Linked DNA regions of Rattus norvegicus. The protein of the gene in region 2 interacts with the protein of the main gene of each other region in a pairwise test. Links are inferred from orthologs where the notes say so. Each region holds a gene or a part of one and is shown on either strand. Other genes may lie near its edges.

Evidence for each region.
Region 1: the proteins of Trip6 (region 2) and Gse1 interact in binary tests that used the Homo sapiens proteins (3 or more experiments, as listed by UniProt). The link is inferred for Rattus norvegicus from reciprocal best matches to the Homo sapiens genes TRIP6 and GSE1.
Region 3: the proteins of Trip6 (region 2) and Frs3 interact in binary tests that used the Homo sapiens proteins (3 or more experiments, as listed by UniProt). The two-hybrid records come from large-scale screens. The link is inferred for Rattus norvegicus from reciprocal best matches to the Homo sapiens genes TRIP6 and FRS3.
Region 4: the proteins of Trip6 (region 2) and Neu4 interact in binary tests that used the Homo sapiens proteins (3 or more experiments, as listed by UniProt). The two-hybrid records come from large-scale screens. The link is inferred for Rattus norvegicus from reciprocal best matches to the Homo sapiens genes TRIP6 and NEU4.

The regions. Positions count from the first base shown.
Region 1 is NC_086037.1:65,492,646-65,497,648, forward strand, and holds the start of Gse1 (Gse1 coiled-coil protein), read left to right. Parts: upstream 1-2,014; 5' UTR 2,015-2,078; coding exon 2,079-2,085; intron 2,086-5,003.
Region 2 is NC_086030.1:25,021,441-25,026,274, forward strand, and holds the start of Trip6 (thyroid receptor-interacting protein 6), read left to right. Parts: upstream 1-1,518; 5' UTR 1,519-1,667; coding exon 1,668-1,776; intron 1,777-2,024; coding exon 2,025-2,152; intron 2,153-2,246; coding exon 2,247-2,372; intron 2,373-2,624; coding exon 2,625-3,008; intron 3,009-3,606; coding exon 3,607-3,700; intron 3,701-3,796; coding exon 3,797-3,966; intron 3,967-4,834. Other genes in the region: Slc12a9 (solute carrier family 12 member 9), read left to right, coding at 1-794. UniProt on the Homo sapiens protein: Relays signals from the cell surface to the nucleus to weaken adherens junction and promote actin cytoskeleton reorganization and cell invasiveness. Involved in lysophosphatidic acid-induced cell adhesion and migration.
Region 3 is NC_086027.1:20,791,689-20,796,529, reverse strand, and holds the start of Frs3 (fibroblast growth factor receptor substrate 3), read left to right. Parts: upstream 1-1,707; 5' UTR 1,708-1,801; intron 1,802-1,815; exon of another isoform or gene 1,816-3,423; intron 3,424-3,513; 5' UTR 3,514-3,656; intron 3,657-4,841. UniProt on the Homo sapiens protein: Adapter protein that links FGF and NGF receptors to downstream signaling pathways. Involved in the activation of MAP kinases. Down-regulates ERK2 signaling by interfering with the phosphorylation and nuclear translocation of ERK2.
Region 4 is NC_086027.1:101,842,775-101,847,413, forward strand, and holds the start of Neu4 (sialidase-4), read left to right. Parts: upstream 1-1,486; 5' UTR 1,487-1,626; exon of another isoform or gene 1,627-3,037; coding exon of another isoform or gene 3,038-3,118; coding exon 3,119-3,319; intron 3,320-3,426; coding exon 3,427-3,682; intron 3,683-4,639. UniProt on the Homo sapiens protein: Exo-alpha-sialidase that catalyzes the hydrolytic cleavage of the terminal sialic acid (N-acetylneuraminic acid, Neu5Ac) of a glycan moiety in the catabolism of glycolipids, glycoproteins and oligosacharides.

The DNA.
Region 1 (5,003 bases), on a different chromosome or scaffold from region 2:
GGTGACCGAACTTGGCCTCCTAGACACCCCTAGGGAGAAAGGTGCGACAAGATTTGGAGGAAGAGCCGGGTGTTGTTACCTGGGGAACCTAGCCCGCAGGCAGCGCAGCCAGGTGCGAGCTGCTCATTTACATGTTGTCCCCTCCCCTCCCCCAGCCAGTAATCCAGGTGGGAAAGGGGTTGGACTAGCCCGGGAGGTTTTTCATTTTGTTTTTACGGCTCGAGGCCAGTTGTTTCTTTCTCCTGACACCTCCCAGTCCCCCCTCCCCCTCCTGCGTACGATTCCCAGCGGGTGAAGGCGCCTCCCCCCGCCCCCACTCCCGGGGAGCCGGGTGCATCCCGGAGGTCGCGAGCGTCGTAAACTTGCATAGGCCACGCTGCCGGGGGCGACGCGAACTAACGCGTGGACCAAAGGCCGCTTGGAACGTGTGTAGGGCCAGGGACCCGGTGGCCGCAGGTAGGAGCAGCAACTCAGCCTGCCCTTGCCCGCCCGTTTCCCTTGTCGTTTGTGGTCGGCCAGGGGCTTGTGCAAGACTGGCCCGGCGTGCGCCCCCGCCCCGCGGCATCGGCGGCTTCTGCTGGCGCGGGCCCCGAGCGCTGCCCGCCGCCGGCGTCATCGAGAACAGATGGACGGGGGGTGCTGGCGCCCGCGCTCGCTCCCTGCGCTGTCCCGGCTGGCGCGGGAGGGAGGAAGGCGGGGGAGGCAGCGCGCGCCTGCCGAGCACTGCGCGGGCATGTCCCGGGGCAGGTTTGGGGCTGGCACCGCCGTGGAAAGTTGAAACCCGCAGCGGCGCTGAGGTGCTCCCCCCGGGGAGGTGCAGTGGCCTCCAGGCTCGAAAGTATGAAAGCGGAGGATCATTAGAGAGCAGTGTAGAGAGGGCGGGCGGGGGAGACCCCGGGACCTCGCGACGACCTTGCCATCTCTCTGGCTGCTCCTTGCGCGCTTGGTCCGGCCGAGGGACCCAGCCGGGCTTGTCCTATAACCCCGCGCCTCCCGGGTGGTGGGAAGGGGACGTCCTGGGGACCGGTCGCGTTGGGGGCGGGGACGCTGGGGCCCAGTCCCTCTCCGCGCCGCCTGTGGGTGCCGAAGAATTTCAGGACGCTCCCTGAGTCATCCCGGTGAAGTGCCTGGGTGAGGTAGGGTGGGTGGGGGCATCAAGAATGGGAAGGCGGTGCGCTGGGGCCGGTGGCGCGGTGGGTTGTGCCAGTTTCTGGAGGCGGCGGCAGCGGCCTCGCCTCTGACCGCAACCCCAGCTACTTAATGATGCCCCTGGCGCAGCGGCGCCTCCGTGGACTTAAGCTTCTCGAACATGGGCTCTTTAAAGAACTCGACCCCCCCCCCCCCCGTGTGGCCTTCACAAAAATTTCTTAAAGATGGAGACTTTGCAAAACTTTGGGTCAGAGGCTCGTGGCCCCAGCTCTTAACATTAAATCCTTTAAAGTTGCGGTAATAGATCAGGCATCTTGGAGAGCGAGGGAGGCCAGCGGCCTATATTGTGTAGTCCCCTCCACTCAGCACAAGGAAAGTCCTCCTGAGCGCTGGGTTTATCCCTCCCCTCTCTTAGTGGGTGGCCAGGTGCCAGGCACTGTTCCAGGCGCTTGGGGAGGCGGCTTTGAGGCTCAGATATGGCAGGCGGAGAGGAGTGTTGTAAGCCACTCCTCTCTACTCTTGGGAGATGAGTGGCCCGCGAAGCCTCGAAGAGGTCCCCCTCGACTGTCCAGCCCGGGTCGCCAGGAGCGCGGGGGCGGCACCTACCCGGCGGGCTGTGACCGCGCTGGGTGCTCCGGGCGGTCCGTCGGTGCGCGCGCGTGCGCTTGCGGCTGAAACCCGACACCTCCCGCCGGCTGAGGTCAGGGCGCCGGGAGCGAGCCGGGGCCGGGGAGTGGGCGGCGTTGCGCTTGGGTGTGTCCTCAGCGGCGACAGCAGCAGGTGTTTCTTGGCCCAGGCCCCGGAAGCTCCACCTCCCCGAGCGGCCGAGCCGCCGCCGCACAGCCCCGGGTGAGATAAGCAGTTCAGACAAACCCGGGCGACGGTGGCTCCGGCATGTGTCAGGCGCGGCGGAGCAGCGGGGCCCTGGCATGAAAGGTGAGCGCGCGGGTAGGGGGGTGACGGGGGTTCCCTCGCTCTTCCCCTACCCAAGTTTGTGGGCTCGGGAGGGGCGCCAACGGCCGGTGCCAGGTCCCGCGGGTGCGAGGTACGAGAAGCGCGGGGCGCGCGGCCGACCTGAAGCCACACTCGCGGCTGCGCGCGCGCGCTGGGCGCAGCGAGCTCTGCGACCGCGGAAGTGCGCGGGGAAGTGTGCGGGGGCGGCTCCGGGGCTCGGGGTTGAAGCAAAACTTTGGATGGGGCGGGGGTGCCCAGGCAGGTGGTTGGATCGGTGTGGGGGACGCCTTGCCTGGGATGGCAGTTCAGGGGGCCTCCGCGACCCCGCCCGGCCCTTCCCGCTCCGCCTGGATGCGCCTCCCCGCCCCCCGCGGCCGCGCTGACGGCGAGTGGCCCGCCCGAGTGGAGCCGATTCAATTATATTGCAGCACCAGAGACACCTCGTCGCCCGCCGCCTCTCCGGCAGGCTAATTAAATTCCCTTCTTGGAGGCGGAGCGGGAGCTGGGCTGCCCTCCCCGCTGCCCGCCTCTCCGAGCGCAGGGAGGTGGAGGGGGCCGCTTAGGACTGCGAGGAGCAGGCTAGGGGCCGCAGATCTGGGTATCGGAGCCCGGAGCGAGCGAGGGGCGCCCCCGCGCACCTGCCACTCGTGGTGGGGGTGCCAGCTCGAGTTGGGTCGGTTTGGTGCTTGCAAACCAGCCTTTGTCTCCATGCGTTTAAAGCACACTAAACCCTTGCTAGACCCCTGCAGTGTCTTATCTGTCGCGGTTGGGGCCCACACAGGTTGGGGTTTGAAAACAAAAAGCGGGACCACCAAATGGAGGGGGGGCAAAATACAAGATCCTTTTGTAAAGGGGGCCGGAACAAAAGGCGCAGCCTCACTCTAGGAGGGAGCATCGGGCCTAAGCCGATTTCCAGCAAAGGGGACAAAGGCAGGAGGTCTTGGCTGGGCGCTTGGCAGTGTCTCAGTCTCTTGCCTGAGACTGTTTTACCCCCTCTTCCCTAGGAAGACAGGGCCCCCCCTGGCGAGCAGCCTTCCCTGGGCGTCCGTGTTACTTAAGCTTGGCTACTTAAGTGTTGCTCAGCCTGTGTTTACAGCCGCCCCCACCCGCAGGCGGGGAACCTGAGGCGCAGGCTGTGTCTGACTCAGCCGCTCAGTCGCCCCGCCACAGGTGAGGGGGGCCGGGGCACAGGCTCCGACTGGCAGCGTGTGTCATCTGCTGTGCTGGGTGTCACGCCCCACCGGGTGGACCGGAACAGGGTTGCTGGCAGGCTCACCCGATCGGGTTCTGCTGTGCAGAAGCAGCTTGCTCAACACTTCTCACAGGCACCGGGTCACGCCTGACCACCTCCTGGGGGGTGCCTTGATGGCTTGGTACAAGGTTGGCTTTTGTCGCCTGGTCTGGCAGCAGGAGCGGAGGAGGCTGGGGGAGGGGGGAGGCGCTGGTGAGCAGCCAGCCAGAGACCCGGGGTCAGCCCCGCCTTCGGAAAGGAGGTGGGAGGCCTGTCCTAGCTTTGGGCTCTGTTCTGCCTGCCTTAGGGCAGGTTCTGAACCAGGAAGGCTAGGAGGCCAGATCAGGCCCTGACCTGTTGGGGGCAGTTATTAGGATCCTGACCGGTTAGGGTTGAAAGGGGGTGTATATATATAGTTCCTTTAAACTTAACATTTTAAAATTACTAGGAGCCAAGCCTTGTCAGGCCCCCTAACCTTGGGGATGACCTGGGGCAATTCTGTTTTTAATGGGGTCGGAATGTCAGGAAGGTTCCGAAAAAGCTTGACCCTTTGGAAGCCTCTGTTGCTCTTGGCAGAGCTGGCAGGCAGGCAGGCCTCTGGCTGTGAGTAACTTCCCTGTCTCTCTGGAGGAAGTTGGAAGCTGCAGATCTCAAAGGGCTGTGTGGTTTGCAGAAAGGCAGCCACCTCAGGACTCTGCACCTCTAGCCAGAGGAAGGGGGAAGAAGAGGTCTGCGCCTCTTTGTGGTGGACCAGGGGCCTGCACCTCCTCCAGGCCCTCCATCAGCCCCAGCCCGCTGAGTCCCCAGCTGGCCTTGACCCTTCAGGCAGGTGTGGTCTATTTCCCTGCCGTGGAGGAGGTCTAGCCTTGGCTCCCTGCTGGTTCCCCCCCTCCCCTTCCTAGAGACTCACTGTGTAATAATAGCCAGTTGCCACTTTTCCCCCTTGCCCCCAGGAACCCGCAGGGGCTTGTGGAGTGAGCCAGCAAGGCCGGTTTTTCCTGGCCCCATCTGCAGCCTTGGAATGCCCAGCCTGGGTTACTCCAATGCCTGGTGGGGTTGGATAGGAGCCTTCTGGTGGGGGGAGCACGTTAATTACCCGTGTTGTGGCAACAGCCACAATCCCTCTATGAGGCCTAGCCCACGTCTTTCCCTCTCCCTCCCTCTCCTGGGATCTCGGGTCGAGAGAGCATGTTTAACCTGCAGAGAACCTCGTCTGAGGTGACATTTCAGCCTGGTGGCTGTGCGGCAGACCTGCCGACTCACTTTAATTTCTGCCCCCATGGAGTCTCAGATCTCCTCGGCCTGGCCAAGTGCAGCCCGCCAGTACTGTGCTGGCTTCACTTCCCACGCTGGCCTTTCTCCCCCCGCCCCCAGGCACACAGGCCACAGCCTGGGAGGTGACGCTTCTGAGTGTTCCTGTCAATGAGAATTTATCGAGCGCCTCCTGAACCCAGCCTCGCGTTCGCTCGCTGCTGGGAGGTGTACAGACAGATGAAACGGGAGAGCGTCCAACGGCAGCTCTTGGCGGCTGCCAACGTGCGCTCCGGAGGCCTTTTAATCTGGCTTCTTGCAGCTTCATCTCCCCACAATCTCCTCACACTCCCTCATGCCCCCCACCCCCTCCACCCCAGCCAGATAAAGCTACTTAAACAGCCCTGTCTGGCAAGTC
Region 2 (4,834 bases):
CAGAGGGCACCAGAGAGGGCGGGTCGCCAGCCCTGAGCACGCTGTTCCCTCCACCTCGGGCTCCTGGGAGCCCCAGGGCTCTCAGTCCCCAGGACTACGTGGCCACCGTGGCAGATGCTCTCAAGATGAACAAGAATGTGGTTCTCGCCCGAGCTTGTGGGGCTTTGCCCCCGGAGCGGCTAAGCCGGGGGTCCGGTAGCAGCGCTCAGCTACATCATGTGGACGTATGGCCCTTGAATCTGTTGAGGCCCCGGGGTGGACCTGGATACGTGGACGTCTGTGGCCTTTTTCTGTTGCAGATGGCTACCATCTTAAGCATGGTGCCTGCCTGGCACAGTGCCCGGCTCCGGATCTTTCTGTGCTTGGGGCCCAGAGAGGCTCCTGGGGCAGCAGAGGGAAGGCTCCGGGCCCTGTTGAGTCAACTCAGGATCCGGGCAGAGGTGCAAGAGGTGGTGTGGGGTGAAGGGGCTGAGGCTGGGGAGCCTGAGGAGGAGGAAGGGGACTTTGTGAATGGTGGTCGAGGAGACGAAGAGGCAGAGGCTCTAGCTTGCAGTGCCAATGCCCTGGTGCGTGCCCAGCAGGGACGAGGCACAGGAGGAGGCCCTGGGGGACCAGAAGGAAGGGATGGAGAGGAGGGACCCACCACAGCCCTTACCTTCCTGTATCTTCCTCGACCTCCTGCTGATCCTGCCCGCTACCCTAGATACCTGGCACTGCTGGAGACCCTAAGCCGTGATCTGGGTCCCACCCTTCTTATTCATGGTGTCACTCCGGTTACCTGTACTGATCTCTGATGCCTGTGCATACAGTGTTGGATAGATAGAGAGGGCCCAGGCCCATTCTCAACAAGGGACGCCCTCCCCCGCCCCCAATGGGCCCTGCCCTTTTGATGATGTTTTAAGGGGACCCTGGTCTCCTTTGGGTGGCGAATGGACATAGTACACTAATTCTAGGTGGCTGCCCCATTGTAGGGGAGGACATTGCGGCCCTGTTCCTGGTCTGCCTACGCTTCCTTCACTGGTGCCTTGACCAGAGGGGCTGGTCTCTTCTGTGACTCTAGGCTACCTCAGTGTCCCCATCCTGGCCACAGACGCACCACCTCCCTCTCCCCGACTTCCTTGGGTGGTGATGTTTGTGTTTTGTTTTATTTTTCTAACTACTGACCATAAATAAAAGACCAAAACACTATGGGCTGGTGGAGCACTGCTGGTGGGTAGATGAGAGGGAGCCGGGTGGGAAGGGAGAGATCTATGAGGGGGTGGAGACTTTCAGAGTCCCGGCCAAGAGGCTGCCACGTGCAGGACTGGGGCAGGGATCTGAGAGAATTGCTGGACCAGAGCCTCTCGGAGAGGCCTGCAGCCCACCCTAGGCTTGGCTCCGGAGGAGGGCGGTCCTCACTTAACAGGAGGGGGCCAGAGAAAGGAAGAATCGTAGAATAAGGCTTGGGGGACCACGTGACCCTCACCAGGAATGTGGTGACGTCAGGGGGCGTGGTCCTCTCCAAAATTGGGGAGGAAGGGAAGAAAAAAAAAGCCAGAAAAAGTTTCTTTGCTGGAGTCCCAAACGGGGCGTGGGGCCGAAAGGGAGGGAAGGGGCTCAAGGGCCCGGCCGCTGGGCTTGTGGGGGTCCTGACCTCTGTCTGGAGTGGAGCAACCCTATTCCAGACCATGTCCGGGCCCACCTGGCTTCCCCCGAAGCAGCCAGAGCCCTCCAGAGTCCCTCAGGGGAGAGCGCTGCCCAGAGGAACCCTGGGTCCGCCAACGGCCCATGGAGCAAGTAAGTGTTCCCCTTTCCCACACCCGGGAGTGGCAGAAGAGCCATTGGCCACTTTCCTTAACCTTTTCTTCCTTGCCTATCTGCTTCCTGCTGTCCCTTCCCCAAGCCAGAGTCCCTTGCTCTTGTGCAAGTTTCCCTAACTCTTGGTCCATCCCCAGACTCCCAGGTACGTGAAGGAGAGCTGCCTGAGAAAGGCGGCTTTAACCAGGGTACCCTTCTCCGCTCTCACCTCCCGTCTCCCCCTTTAGCGCTCCAGCCTCACCCCAGGGTCAACTTTTGCCCCCTCCCACCTGAACAATGTTATCAGCCTCCGGGGGTACCGGAAGATCGGGGGCCTACTTGGGTGGGATCCCATGGAGCAGCCCAGCGCCTGCAGGTGAGAATTGGAGGTGAGGGTAGGATCAAGGTGAGAGAAGGCTAGGTAGGGGTTGTGATCGGTATTTGTTCTTCCTGTTTTGGCTCTGTCTCAGGGGCTCCCTCCAGACCGGGGAGTCATCCACCCTGGAAGTCTGGACGCTGAGATAGATTCGCTCACCAGCATGCTGGCTGATCTGGACGGGAGTCGCAGTCATGCACCTAGGCGACCAGACAGACAGGTGATCTCCTGTGTTCTGTCTCTCCTGTGTCAGCCGATTCTCTTTTGTAGATTCTCAGCCTCAGTCCGCCCTCTTCACTCTCCGCCCACCCTCTTTGCAACTAATAAATAACTGGTTCAAGGAATCATGAACTTCCTTCTTGTTAGGCCTAACCCATGGGAACTTGACAAAAGTCATGGCTCCCGAGATTCCACCTGGCGCGCATGGATCTTGGATCTGGCCTTACTGTTTGTGCATTGTTTGTCTTCCCAGGCTTTTGAGGCTCCTCCACCCCATGCTTACCGTGGAGGCTCCCTGAAACCCAGCGGAGGTGCTGTTCCAGCCCCGATGCTCCCAGCATCTCCCTATGGTGGACCTACTCCAGCCTCTTATGCTACCGCGAGCACTCCAGCTGGTCCTGCTTTCCCTGTTCAAGTGAAGGTGGCTCAACCCGTGAGAGGCTGTGGACTGCCCAGGCGGGGGGCTTCGCAGGCCTCTGGACCTCTTCCAGGCCCCCACTTTCCTCTGACAGGTCGTGGTGAAGTCTGGGGAGCTGGCTATAGGAGCCACCGAGAGCCAGGACCAGGGGTTAAGGAGGGAGCTGCTGGAGTTCATAACCCTGCAGGAGGAGGAAGAAGAGGTGGGCATGAGCCTCAGGTAAGCCAGGGGGTGTGGGCACGGTGGTACCTGGTCATTGTAGGTAACTGGCCGTTGGTTAGGTGGTGTGGAGGCTGAGGGATTAAGATACCGTTTTTAGGAGACGCAGTTCAGTTGGTAGAGAGTTGGTAGAGTCCTTTTTTTTTTTTTTTTTTTTTTTTTTCTTTTTTTCGGAGCTGGGGACCAAACCCAGGGCCTTGCGTTTGCTAGGCAAGCGCTCTACCACTGAGCTAAATCCCCAACCCCGGTAGAGTCCTTTTTTATTATGTAGGAATCCCAAGGTTCTAGACCCAGCACTGTATAAACAAAGCATGGGGGAGGTAGAGGCAGGAGGATCAGTAAATTAAGATATTTGGCTACATAATGAGTCCAAGGCCAGCCTAGGCCATATGAGACACGCTCTTAAAAATAAATATAAGTCAGTTGTGGTTTTAGGGTACTTAGAGGTCAAGGATTACGATGTCCAAAGGGAAGGGGCTTCCTTCCCTTGTCAGCCTGGGAGATATTCTCAGAGGAAATTTCAGGGTTCCTGAGCTTGTGGGTTACTTACGGTGTGTGAGGTCGAAGCAGCACTGCAAAGCCCTGTTTCTCCCTGTAGGGCCCCTTGAGCCAGCCTCCAGAGGAGGAGCTGGAGAGACTGACCAAGAAGTTGGTGCATGACATGAACCACCCGCCCAGTGGGGAGTACTTTGGTGAGCTGACCCGCTGGGTAGGATGGGACGGGGAGGGGACAGTGGATCCGGTGTCCTGGGTCTGTGGAGACTGATCTTGTTCCCCTCTGTCCCCAGGTCGGTGTGGTGGCTGTGGCGACGATGTGGTTGGTGATGGAGCTGGGGTTGTGGCCCTGGACCGTGTCTTCCATACTGGTTGCTTCGTGTGTTCTACCTGTCGGGCCCAGCTCCGAGGCCAGCACTTCTATGCCGTGGAGAGGCGGGCGTATTGTGAGAGCTGCTATGTGGTGAGCGGTTGGGCTGTGAGAGGGTGTTGCCAAATTGGGAGTGTCAAGATTTGACAGGCAGGTTTCTATCCAAGAGAGGGCCAGGTACTCAGCTGGGTGGGCCTGGAAGCTGGAGATTCAAGCTGAGGTACAATGAACTAAGTATGGTGGCTCAGGCCTGTCTGGAGGAGAACATGGGCTACGGAAGCGGGTTGGAAGCCAGCCCAAGGCACAGGTTTCCGAAGATCGATTGATCCATCAACCAAAAGAACACTTTGCGTTTTGTTTCTTGGATTGCCTGTTTGTCGTTTTGAGATAATACGTCGTGTGTCCCAGGCTGGCCTGAAACTCTTAGGTATTTATAGCTAAGGAAGACCTTGGGTATGGGGATTCCAGGTGTGGGCCACCAGATCTGTTCTTTGTGGTGTTAGGAATGGAACCCAGGGCTCTTGCATGCCGGACAAACACTTTACCAACTGAGCTACAACCCCAGATTAAGGAATGAGTTAAATGTGGACACGAGCTGAAGGAGAGGAGGAACAGCTCGTGCTGTCTAAGTGGGTGGCCACCTTCCTTCCTTCCCTCCTTCCCTCCTTCCCTCTTTCCCTCCTTCCTCCCCTCTTTTCCTCCACCTCTCCTTCCCTTTCTCCCTCCTTCCTTCTTTCCTTCCTTTGAGACCGAGTCTCACTACGTAGCCTAGGCTGGTCCTGAAGTTACAGTCTTCCTGCCTCGGCTTCCGAGAGCTGAGAAACCAGATGTGTGCCCAGCTAGAAGGCATTTTAGAGTTGAGGTAATTTGTAAAAGCCTCACAGCATTCCTCAGAGGCAAGCACTACTGACTCATCTCACTGAAAGAGGAAGTGTGCGGAGACCAGATTCCTTGTCTAGAG
Region 3 (4,841 bases), on a different chromosome or scaffold from region 2:
GAGATCCAAGGCATGCACCACCACAGCCAGCTTCACAGCAGTAATTTTAATGGACAGTCCCAGTGCAACCTGTGTAGTTAGCCACAGTCTATTTGGGATCACAGTGTCTACTGAAGTAGGGAAAAGAGGGGCCCTGCTCTCACTGAGGTCCCAGGCTAGTGAACAAGAAGAAACACAGTAGCCGGGGAGAACAAGGATGTACACGGATTCTAGGTGAAGGGGTTGGGCTGTGTGGGGTGGGGGTAGCCAAGGCAAACTTATATGTTTATTCGGTGTCTGAGACGATTCTCGAACTGGGATGGAGTCTGACAGCAGGGCTTAGGAGGACTGCCAGTAAATCACTGGGCTTTGGGGATGGCCAGCAGGCTCAGTTTAGAGTACCTTCCAACTCCAAGCACTCCCTCAGTGCCCCTTCCTATACCCAGCGCCACCCTTCCCTATTCCCCGCTCCACACCCACCTGCTTCCTTCCTGTTCTGTCCCTCACACCAGGTTTCCTGTGGAAGGTGGCCAGAATGAACTATCCACATTCAGGGCTAGAAACAGTCCCACCCCTTAGCACTGGTTCAGCTCCATGCAACAAGGTTGTGTGTGGGGTAGGTTCTGGGGCCCCAGAAGACTTGGGACTCTCTTCCAGATTAGTTCTGGTTTGCATGGAACTGTCCAGCAACAAGTATCAGAAAACACACCTCTACCCAACATCCTTCCTGTCCCCTACTCTAATTCACCTCCCGTTACCATTAGACCCCATCTTACTAACGTTCTGGTTTCCTCCCATAGTTCCCTTCCTCTCTCCTTTCAGGTAAGAACAGGCCAAACACTGGCTCCCCAGCCCCTCAGGTGCAACTAGATTCGGGGGGGTCGACCTTCCCCAAACAACACCGGTTCGTGGAAGGATGAGAGGCCCCAGAGGCTGGAGAGCAGTAGACAAGGGAAGGTGTCCCCGAATCAGAGGAAAAGGGGGAGGGGAGTGTAGGCTTTCACAAAGTGGCCTCTAGGCATAGCCCCCAATTCTTCCTAGAACTTGGCCGGTCCACCTGCAAGGCAGAGGCTCAACGTGTGCTTACCGAGTTCTCTTGGGGGTCTCTGTCTAGCTGCAGGTTTACGAGTGGGAATCAAGATTCCGAAAGGGTCTCTGCGTGGCTAAGCGACAACGCTGTACAGCAGAGACCTGCCGTCGGCCACGCCCCCAAGCGGTCCCAACCAGGCAGGTGCTTCAGACCAAGGAAAGCGCTCGTGGGTCTCAGGACAGGAAGGGCACAGGCACCCGTGTACCGCCAAGCTGCGAACTGTCTCTCGGCCCACCCCCGGCTTAAGCCCCGCCCCCTCTGCGGGCCTTTACAGCCCTCCCCTTTGTCCCCAGTGGTCGGTCCCTCACCACTTCCCCTCCTGGATTCCGAGTCTGGTCCAGACTCCTCAGATCCGCTTTGCTATCTTTCGTGATTCTCTTCGGCTTGAGAGATTGCTCCTACCTCTGTCTCCGCCCTATCCCGCCCCGCGCCCCTTCTCCAGACAGGCCACGCCCCTCAGGAGTCCTAGTCACCGGCCCCGAGCGCCCTCTGGCGTCTGCGCATGCTCTCTGTCCCGGACTGCAAAGTCCTCCAAAGGGACCTTCTAGGCTGCGCGCCGGTTGCCCCGGCTGGGGTCGGTCCGCTCGCAGCGTCTCGTTGGTGCAGCCAGCGACCTCCGACCCCGCGGGCGCGGAGCGGGGCGGGGCTGGGAGGCCTTAGCTGCGGGCGGGCGGCGGCTGCTGCAGCGGGACCCGGGAGCGGGGCCCGGCGCCGCCCGGGCCGCGGGGCGATGTGAGTCGGGGCGCAGCGGGGCGGGGACCAGGCGGCTCTACCGAGGCCCGGTCGTGCCGCGCCGCAGTCTCCGTTCCTACCCTAGAAAGCCCTAAGCAGACAGGCTAGCGGCGGACCGGGGGCTGGGGGCGGGGATCCAGGCTCGGAGCGCGGCCGCAACCTCCGCGTTCCGTCTGGGTATCTAGAAAAACCTCCTGTTACCAGTTCTGCCTTTCGCTTCCCAGACCCCACCCTCTTCCCTCCCCCTAGTTGCACCTTCGGGTCTTCGGGATCCCGCAGAACCCCCTCACGCTCCCAATCCTCTGAAACGCCCACAGTCACCTCCTTCTCTGCTCAATGGCCCAAAGGCTTCTGCGGTCCTGAAACCCAGCCTTTGCATGCTTCTTGCAGCCCACCTTCTCACAAGGCTTCGTATACATTTTCAGATCTCATACCTCCATCTGGTGCCTGTACCCAACCCTACCTACCTCAGACATAACCTCCCCCATCCCACCCAATATAATCCCCCTCAATGGACCATCCGATAATGTGTTTAATATTTTAAAGAACAAGTGGGCTGTCAGAAAGATGTAATCCCTCTCCCATCCTGCATCCAGTAGCTCTTGACCTCACACCCCTTCCCAACTCCCTGTTGATAGTTTAAACAAACCCCCATGTTTGGTGGTTTTTTTTTTTTTCCCCCACTACCTACCTTTAGCCTGCGCACACTTCCTTCAGCCTGCTTCCTCCTTCCAAGGAATAAGCCAGACCAAGAGAGGGGTTCTTTTACCTAAGAGTTGTGAGGGGGACCCCGGGAAGTACTGTTTTCCTGGAAAGGGAAGGTGGGATTTCAAGGGTTTTCTTCAGAGTCCTGGTTTGTTGATTCATCTACCTAGGTAGGCCTCAGATAATCTGAAATTTTGCCTCTTGTTATAATTGGACCTTTCTGACCCTAGGAACAGAAAGTCTGTCCCGCTTTCAAATGTGAAGTGCTTTATTTATAACTACTTCTAGAAATTACCTCAACTAGAACTCCCATAGTTGATAGATGTTTCCTCAAAAAAAAAAAAAAAAAACCCAAAACAACAACAACCCCCAGGGGCACGAATAGAGATAGTGGAGGGAGAATGACACCCCCCCCTCCGCCCCGCACCCGATATATCATAACAACAAAACATTCTAAAATGTTGGTTTCCCAAATCATACTGTTATATTGTTCTTCTGAGAAAGAAAGCTTTTTATAGGGATAAAATTCTGTGCAATGGTCAGGTGATGTATTTGGGTTTTGGTTTTGGTTTTGGTTGGGGATTTTTTTGGGGGGGTGGGGGACGGGAAGTTGGGACAGTGTTTTCTGTGTAGCCTTGGCTCTGTGGACCAGGCTAGCCTTGAACTCAGACATCTTCTGCCTCTGCCCTCTGAGTGTTGGAATTAAAATTATGGGTCACCACCTCACAACTAGGTGATGTTCTGAGAGGCTTATATACCGGGATTCAGAGGGCGCTCCATTGAGGGCTGTGAACTGAAGGTACCAGACTCCTCAGAACTCATTGTCTTTGGTCCTAAGTTCCTTTCAGGGCTGAGAATCTGTGGCCTTTTTATCCACAATCTTCTGACCCACTAGAGCCTAGACCAGATAAGTTCAGGTGGGCTACACTGATAACAAGTCTATTTCCTGAAGAGCTGAGGTTGAGAATAGGTCTCCATTAATGTGTGGTCTCTGTCTCCTGTGCTAGGTGAGCCCCAGGTGTGACCCCCAGGGATCCAGGTGAAGTCTCTGCAGACACTCTGCCATGACACCCCACCAAGAACAAGGGGAATAAAGTGGGACCCTTTCCCATGCCCCTCCCACGGTCAGCACCCCGATGGCCTGGGTGAGGTAAGACCTGTGGTTTAGGTACTGGCATTGTAGAGTTTCTCGATGTGGGAGGAATGTAGGGAATAGGCCTCTGTGTGGCTCGGGGTTCTATAGACACAGCAGACATTCCTGGATAAGCCACTGCCTTATTTACTTACTTACTATCTTTATTTTTTGCAGCAAAGTGAACCTCTTAAAACTTCAGGCGGGGGCCTAGAAGCCTTAGAGCCCTTACCTAGCAAGTATGAAGCACTAGGTTAGATCTCCAGCGTTAAAGCCAAAACAACCACAAAACCTCCATTTGGGATCTCTCCACGTATCTCTCATTCCCTTGGATCACAAAGGCCTGAGTGCTGTCCTCTCCTTATTAAGGCAGAAAGCTGTCGGTTGTGACATGTCATTCGATTACCAGTGTCTTGAGGGAAAAGCTAGCTAAGGTCTCTTACCTCTGCTTCTGGCCTCTGGGAAGAAAGTGCAGTCTTTTGTTGTTTTAGCTTTAGAGTGTTGGGAGTCGGCTCCAAGTAAAGAATCTACGCTGAACAGCTACATGCTGGGCTGCAGCATTTTGGGTTTTTCTCAGTGAAGAAATACAGTGTGCACCTTTGCTCCCAATGCCTGGGAAACAGAAGAGTCTCTGTGAGTCCCAGTGTCCAGTCATGAAGTATGTCTTAAGACCACAATGTAGCAACAGCTCACTTGAAGAGAACGTCGGAAATAGTAACTTCTGGTGGATATTGGGGTGGGGGCAAGGGAAGAAAGGGAGAACAAGTTTGGAGCGGAATGGGTAAGGTGAAAACTGAGGAAAGGAGAGGGACAAGATGGTGTCTGGGATGCCCACGTGACCCTGTGTTTGCTGAATCCAGATGAAGACCTCAGGCCAGCACACAACTGAGGCAGCCACTCCCAACACCTCACATCTATCCTGCTCAAGACTCCATCCATATCACTTCACGGGTCAAAATCCTGTGTACTTGTCAGGGGCCAGATTGAACGTTAACCTCTGAGAAGCTTACCATCCTGCCCCCACCTACGGGAATCCTTAACTCATTCTAACTTGAATTAATGTTTATCCCAAGTGTGTTTGGCCATGGATTGAGACAGAATCCCCTCAGGGTGTGTCTGTGTCACACAGCCTGTTGGACAGAGGACGTGCTCACAGTGCAGTATTCTGCACAGAGCAGAGCAGCTTGGCAGGGCTGCTGGTGA
Region 4 (4,639 bases), on a different chromosome or scaffold from region 2:
TCTTTTAAAAACCTTACAAATATAAGTTGAAGATTTACACATATACTTTCAAAACGATCTATCTTAGTATATGATTATGTCTTGTCTCATGTGTATACGCCCACACACAGACATACTCACATACATAATTAGAATAAATCATTAAAAAAAAAATAACGTCTGTTGGAAATAATTTACCTCCTGCTATTCTCGCTAACGCTTTTGTTCTGGTCCGATGTTGTTCTTTTCTCTCCCAAGATGAAGGGTGGCCCCGCTTTTAGAGCCAATTTCTCAGTGAGCTGGATCAGCGCATCACAATTTACCATTATAATGCACATCAGGAGGAGCATTCCTTACGGTCTCCTCATTACCGTCACCTCACTGGAAAAATTGGGACGCCTTCACTGACTTCTTAGTTTGGTTAAAAAGAGTTTATAAAATTCTTTTACATCCATTCATTGGTTAAATTAACTGATTAAATTAAATTAAATTTAATTAAAAACTCATGGGGCTGGAGAGATGGCTCAGTGGTTAAGAGCACTGGCTGCTCTTCCAGAGATTTCTGGGTTCAATTCCCAGCAACCACATGTTGGCTCACAACCATCTGCAATGGAATCTGATGCCCTCTTCTGGTGTGTCTGAAGAGAGCGACAGTGTAGTCACATAAAAATAAATAAATCTTAAAAAAATTCATAAAAGAACTTAACAGTGGGCTCAGAGGGAATCTCTAAGACAATTTTATTAGCGTTTCAGAGAAAACCGCTGACTTCTGACGGTTTCTAGCTGGCCAAGGCCCCAACAAGGGAATCTGACGTCTTTGCTATGAAGCTGACAAGGTCAAACATGGGGTGGCCTATGAGGGTGAGGGGAGGCGAAGACCTGGGCTGGCTTTGGTGCTCTAGGGGTAACAGCTTGCGAAGTCAAGTTGCACCATCTCTGCCAGAGCTGAAAGGCTTCAATTTCCTCTCTGTGACTCTTCACCCAAGAAAGTCTTCATGCGGGGCGGCATGAGCCTGGGCGGAAACGCCGTAATTCCTGGCCAATTCCTGTCCCTGGAACTTACTGAATGGGCCACTTGGGCAGCGGTACGGGGGAGGGGGTCCTGCTCTTTGACTGAGGTCTCCCCAGGACGGCGAGGCTCCATGGAAACCCAGAGCTCTCTCAGAAAAGGATATCTCTAATGGGTGACACCCTGTCCCGTCCGTAAATCTCGGTTTACCCAATGAACAACGGGAGTGACTTGATGGTATCTGGAGCCTCTCTGGGTCCTGCTCTGTTTCCAGGCTGGGGAGTGGGTTCAGGCTCCCAGCTGACTGAATTCACAGTTCTCGTGGTCCTGGACTTTTGGGAAATCATCCAAATATACAGAGAATATCTCTCTTGTGCCTGTTCGGTCTGAGGGGGACACGTGGCTCCCCGCACCTGCTTCTACTTGGGTACAATTGTGCTTTGAGTGCAGAGCTGGGGGGCTTCCAGGAGACAGGAAGCTGCTCAGAAGCCCCAGAGCTAGGAGTGGGTGAGGAAGGCAGTGTGCGTCACGGAGCTCGTGGCCCGGACTGTGGTTGGTAGACTTAGAGGCCCTAAGGCTTGGAGCCAGTGGTGGTCAGCACAGCCCTCCGTGGTCTGCAGAGCCTGCTATTGCTTTACGTGAGTGTCTGTCCTCTTTTTCTCTATCCTGGGTTCCAATCTGAGAAGTCATCCTAGGTTCCTATTGAGAGCTTTGTCCAGGTGGATATGCTAGGATTCCTCCTCTGGGTGTTTGAAACGAGCTTCTTCTATATGGCTCACGGTAGGCTGGTCAGGAATGGCTGGTGTGAGCTGTGTGTCTGGCTATGTCCTGGTTTGGGGTGCCTGGCCGTGAGCACTTTGGCTGGTGGTGGTCTGGCTTAGATGGCTGTGGGCTCTGAGTATTCATGTCCTGCAGGTAAAGCAATCACTGTCTTCCCACCAACCCCACACCCATTGATTCTCACCTTCTGGTCTGCCATGGTGCAAATCAGATAGCAGTCCCTGGCAGATTCAGTTCACGACCCCGACATACTGCCAATAGGTCTTCCTCTGTGGTAGGCTAAGTGGGAAGAAAATATAGTCTGGGAGTGCCTGGCCATCTTTCTGTGGCTTCAGTTCCATGTAGAAGTACTTCCTGGCTGTCCCTCAGTCCAAGGCCCCGCAGATGGGGATGCCTGGGGAAGGGGGTGGCTGTATGGACAAGAAGGGGTGAGGTGATCATAAGCAGGGCTCTGACTGCACAGACTGATTCCCAGGTCATCCTTGGCTTGCGGGTGAGCTTAGGAAGTGGCTGCTGGGGCAGGGTATAGAGTGGGAGACAGGACAGTAGGTGACCATGAGGAGAGAGAGGCCTTTGTCCTTCCTTGATTACTACATCCTCCTGGTTCCAGAATTCTGTCCACAGTCTCCTCCACTTTCTCAGCCCTGCATTGACTCTGCTCTGACCAGGGAGGAAGCCATTTAGGGATAAACCGGGACTTCTCCACTCTTCTGGGCTTTTCGTTTTCTGCTTTTTCATCAACCCCGCCCCCTGGTGCTCTCTCTGGGGGGTATGAGAGCCACTCGGGGGTACACTACTTGGGGGGTGCTGCTCTGCTGTTCATCTCCAAACCCCTAGGCAGCCTAGGGGTTCGGTGGGAGCATCTCCGGTGTCTGAAGCTATTCGCCATGGAGACTTCTGGAGCTCCTTCTGCTTCTATGTGGGTAGGTGCCAGGGCTCATCTGTCCCTGGTGTGTGATGTGCCTCCCCTGGTCTCACATATCACAGTTGTGGACATTGAGCACCTCCCCCCCACTTTTTTTTGTCCGATTTTGTCCACTTGTCTGGACTCTTGGGTAAGTTCTGTGAAGATGAGTGTCCGGGCCACACCAGCTGGCAGGATATGGTTTCTCTGCCCAGCACGAGTCTGGTAAAGGAGCAGCTTGGAAAGAAGGAAGGGGCCAGGTCCATAGACATTTGGGGCGCAGTGGCTGTGAGAGGCCTGGGGATGGGTTGTGAGAAATCTGGGCTGAAGTAGATAGAAAGTGCCATTAACATGGTCAGGTGGGCATGGGGAGTGTCTGTGGCTGTGTGAACTTGTGGAGCTCCTCCCCAACAGGCTCCCTGGTGCCCTGCTTCTACCAGAAGGGCATGGGGCCCGCGCATGTTCCCAAGAGAACCGTGCTCTTCCAGCGGGAAAGGACTGGTCTGACCTACCGGGTGCCTGCGCTGCTCTGCGTGCCTCCCAGGCCTACCCTGCTGGCCTTCGCAGAACAGCGACTTAGCCCTGATGACTCCCATGCCCACCGCCTGGTGCTACGGAGGGGCACGCTGACCAGGGGCTCAGTGCGGGTGAGTGCTAGGTGCTAGGTGCAGAGGAAGCAGCCCAGATCGATCGATATCCCTGGAGACTGAGGTCAGGCTCCAGATGTCTTGACCAGCTGCTTCTCTTCCCTTAGTGGGGCGTTCTGAGTGTACTGGAAACTGCAGTACTGGAGGAGCACAGGTCTATGAATCCTTGCCCCGTGCTGGATGAGCACTCGGGTACCATCTTCCTCTTCTTCATTGCTGTGCGGGGTCACACACCGGAGGCCGTGCAAATCGCCACTGGCAAGAACGCTGCTCGCCTCTGCTGTGTGACCAGCTGTGACGCTGGCCTTACCTGGGGCAGCGTGCGGGATCTCACTGAGGAAGCCATTGGTGCTGCATTGCAGGGTAGGTGACATCTGATGTGTGGGATGGGATGGGTGGGGGGCGGTAGGGGGTCGAGGGGTAGACTGGGTAGGGGCCGGATAGGGGAAAATGGGCGTGGACTCTAGTGGTCTTGGGCTTGTCTCTAACATAGGTTCACCAAGCACTTGGTGAACCATTCTGCCTTTCTTATCCCCAGCTTCCAGCCCCGCCTCCTCTGCGAGCAATGACCTAACATTGTTGGCAGGACTGTCTGGTATTTCCCAAGCACCAGGCTAATAGGTGTTGGCCAGCTTCTTCATACCGCCTGCTGGCAGGGCTAGCAACTTAAGCCCACCAGAGGCTCTCCTGGTCTTGGTCTCTGATGAGGGCTAAATTTATCTTTTATTTCCAAACCCATTTTTTTTTTTTTGCTTCCTCTTCATCCAGCTCTGGTTTCTAGGATTCAGTCTCTTTTTCCACCCCTGCAGTCCCTACTCCCCAGGAACTGTCTACTGCTCTCCCCTATCACCCTGACCCCTGCTGGTTGGCAGTGCCCCTAAGGGTACAGGACTGGGCACGTGAGTGCTACAAAGAGGAATATGGCAGGTTCTGGGAGGGAAACGGGGAAACAGGACTGTCTTAGTTAAAGTTTCTATTACCATGACCAAAAAGCAGGTTGGGGGAGGAAAAGGTTTATTTGGCTTACACTTCCAGATCATAATCCCTCATTGGATGGCATTGGGACCGGAACTCAAGCAGGGCTTGAACCTAGAGGCAGGAGCTGATGCAGAGGCCATGGAGGATGCTGCTTATTGGCTTGCTTTTCATGATTTCCTCAGCCTGCTTTCTTATGGAACCCAGGATCACCAGTCCAAAGATGGCACGACCCATCATGGGCTGGGCCCTCCCCCATTGATCAGTAGTTGAGAAAATGACTTATAGCTGGGTCTCTTGGTAGCATTTTCTCAACTGAGGCTCCTTCCTCTCTGATGACTCTAG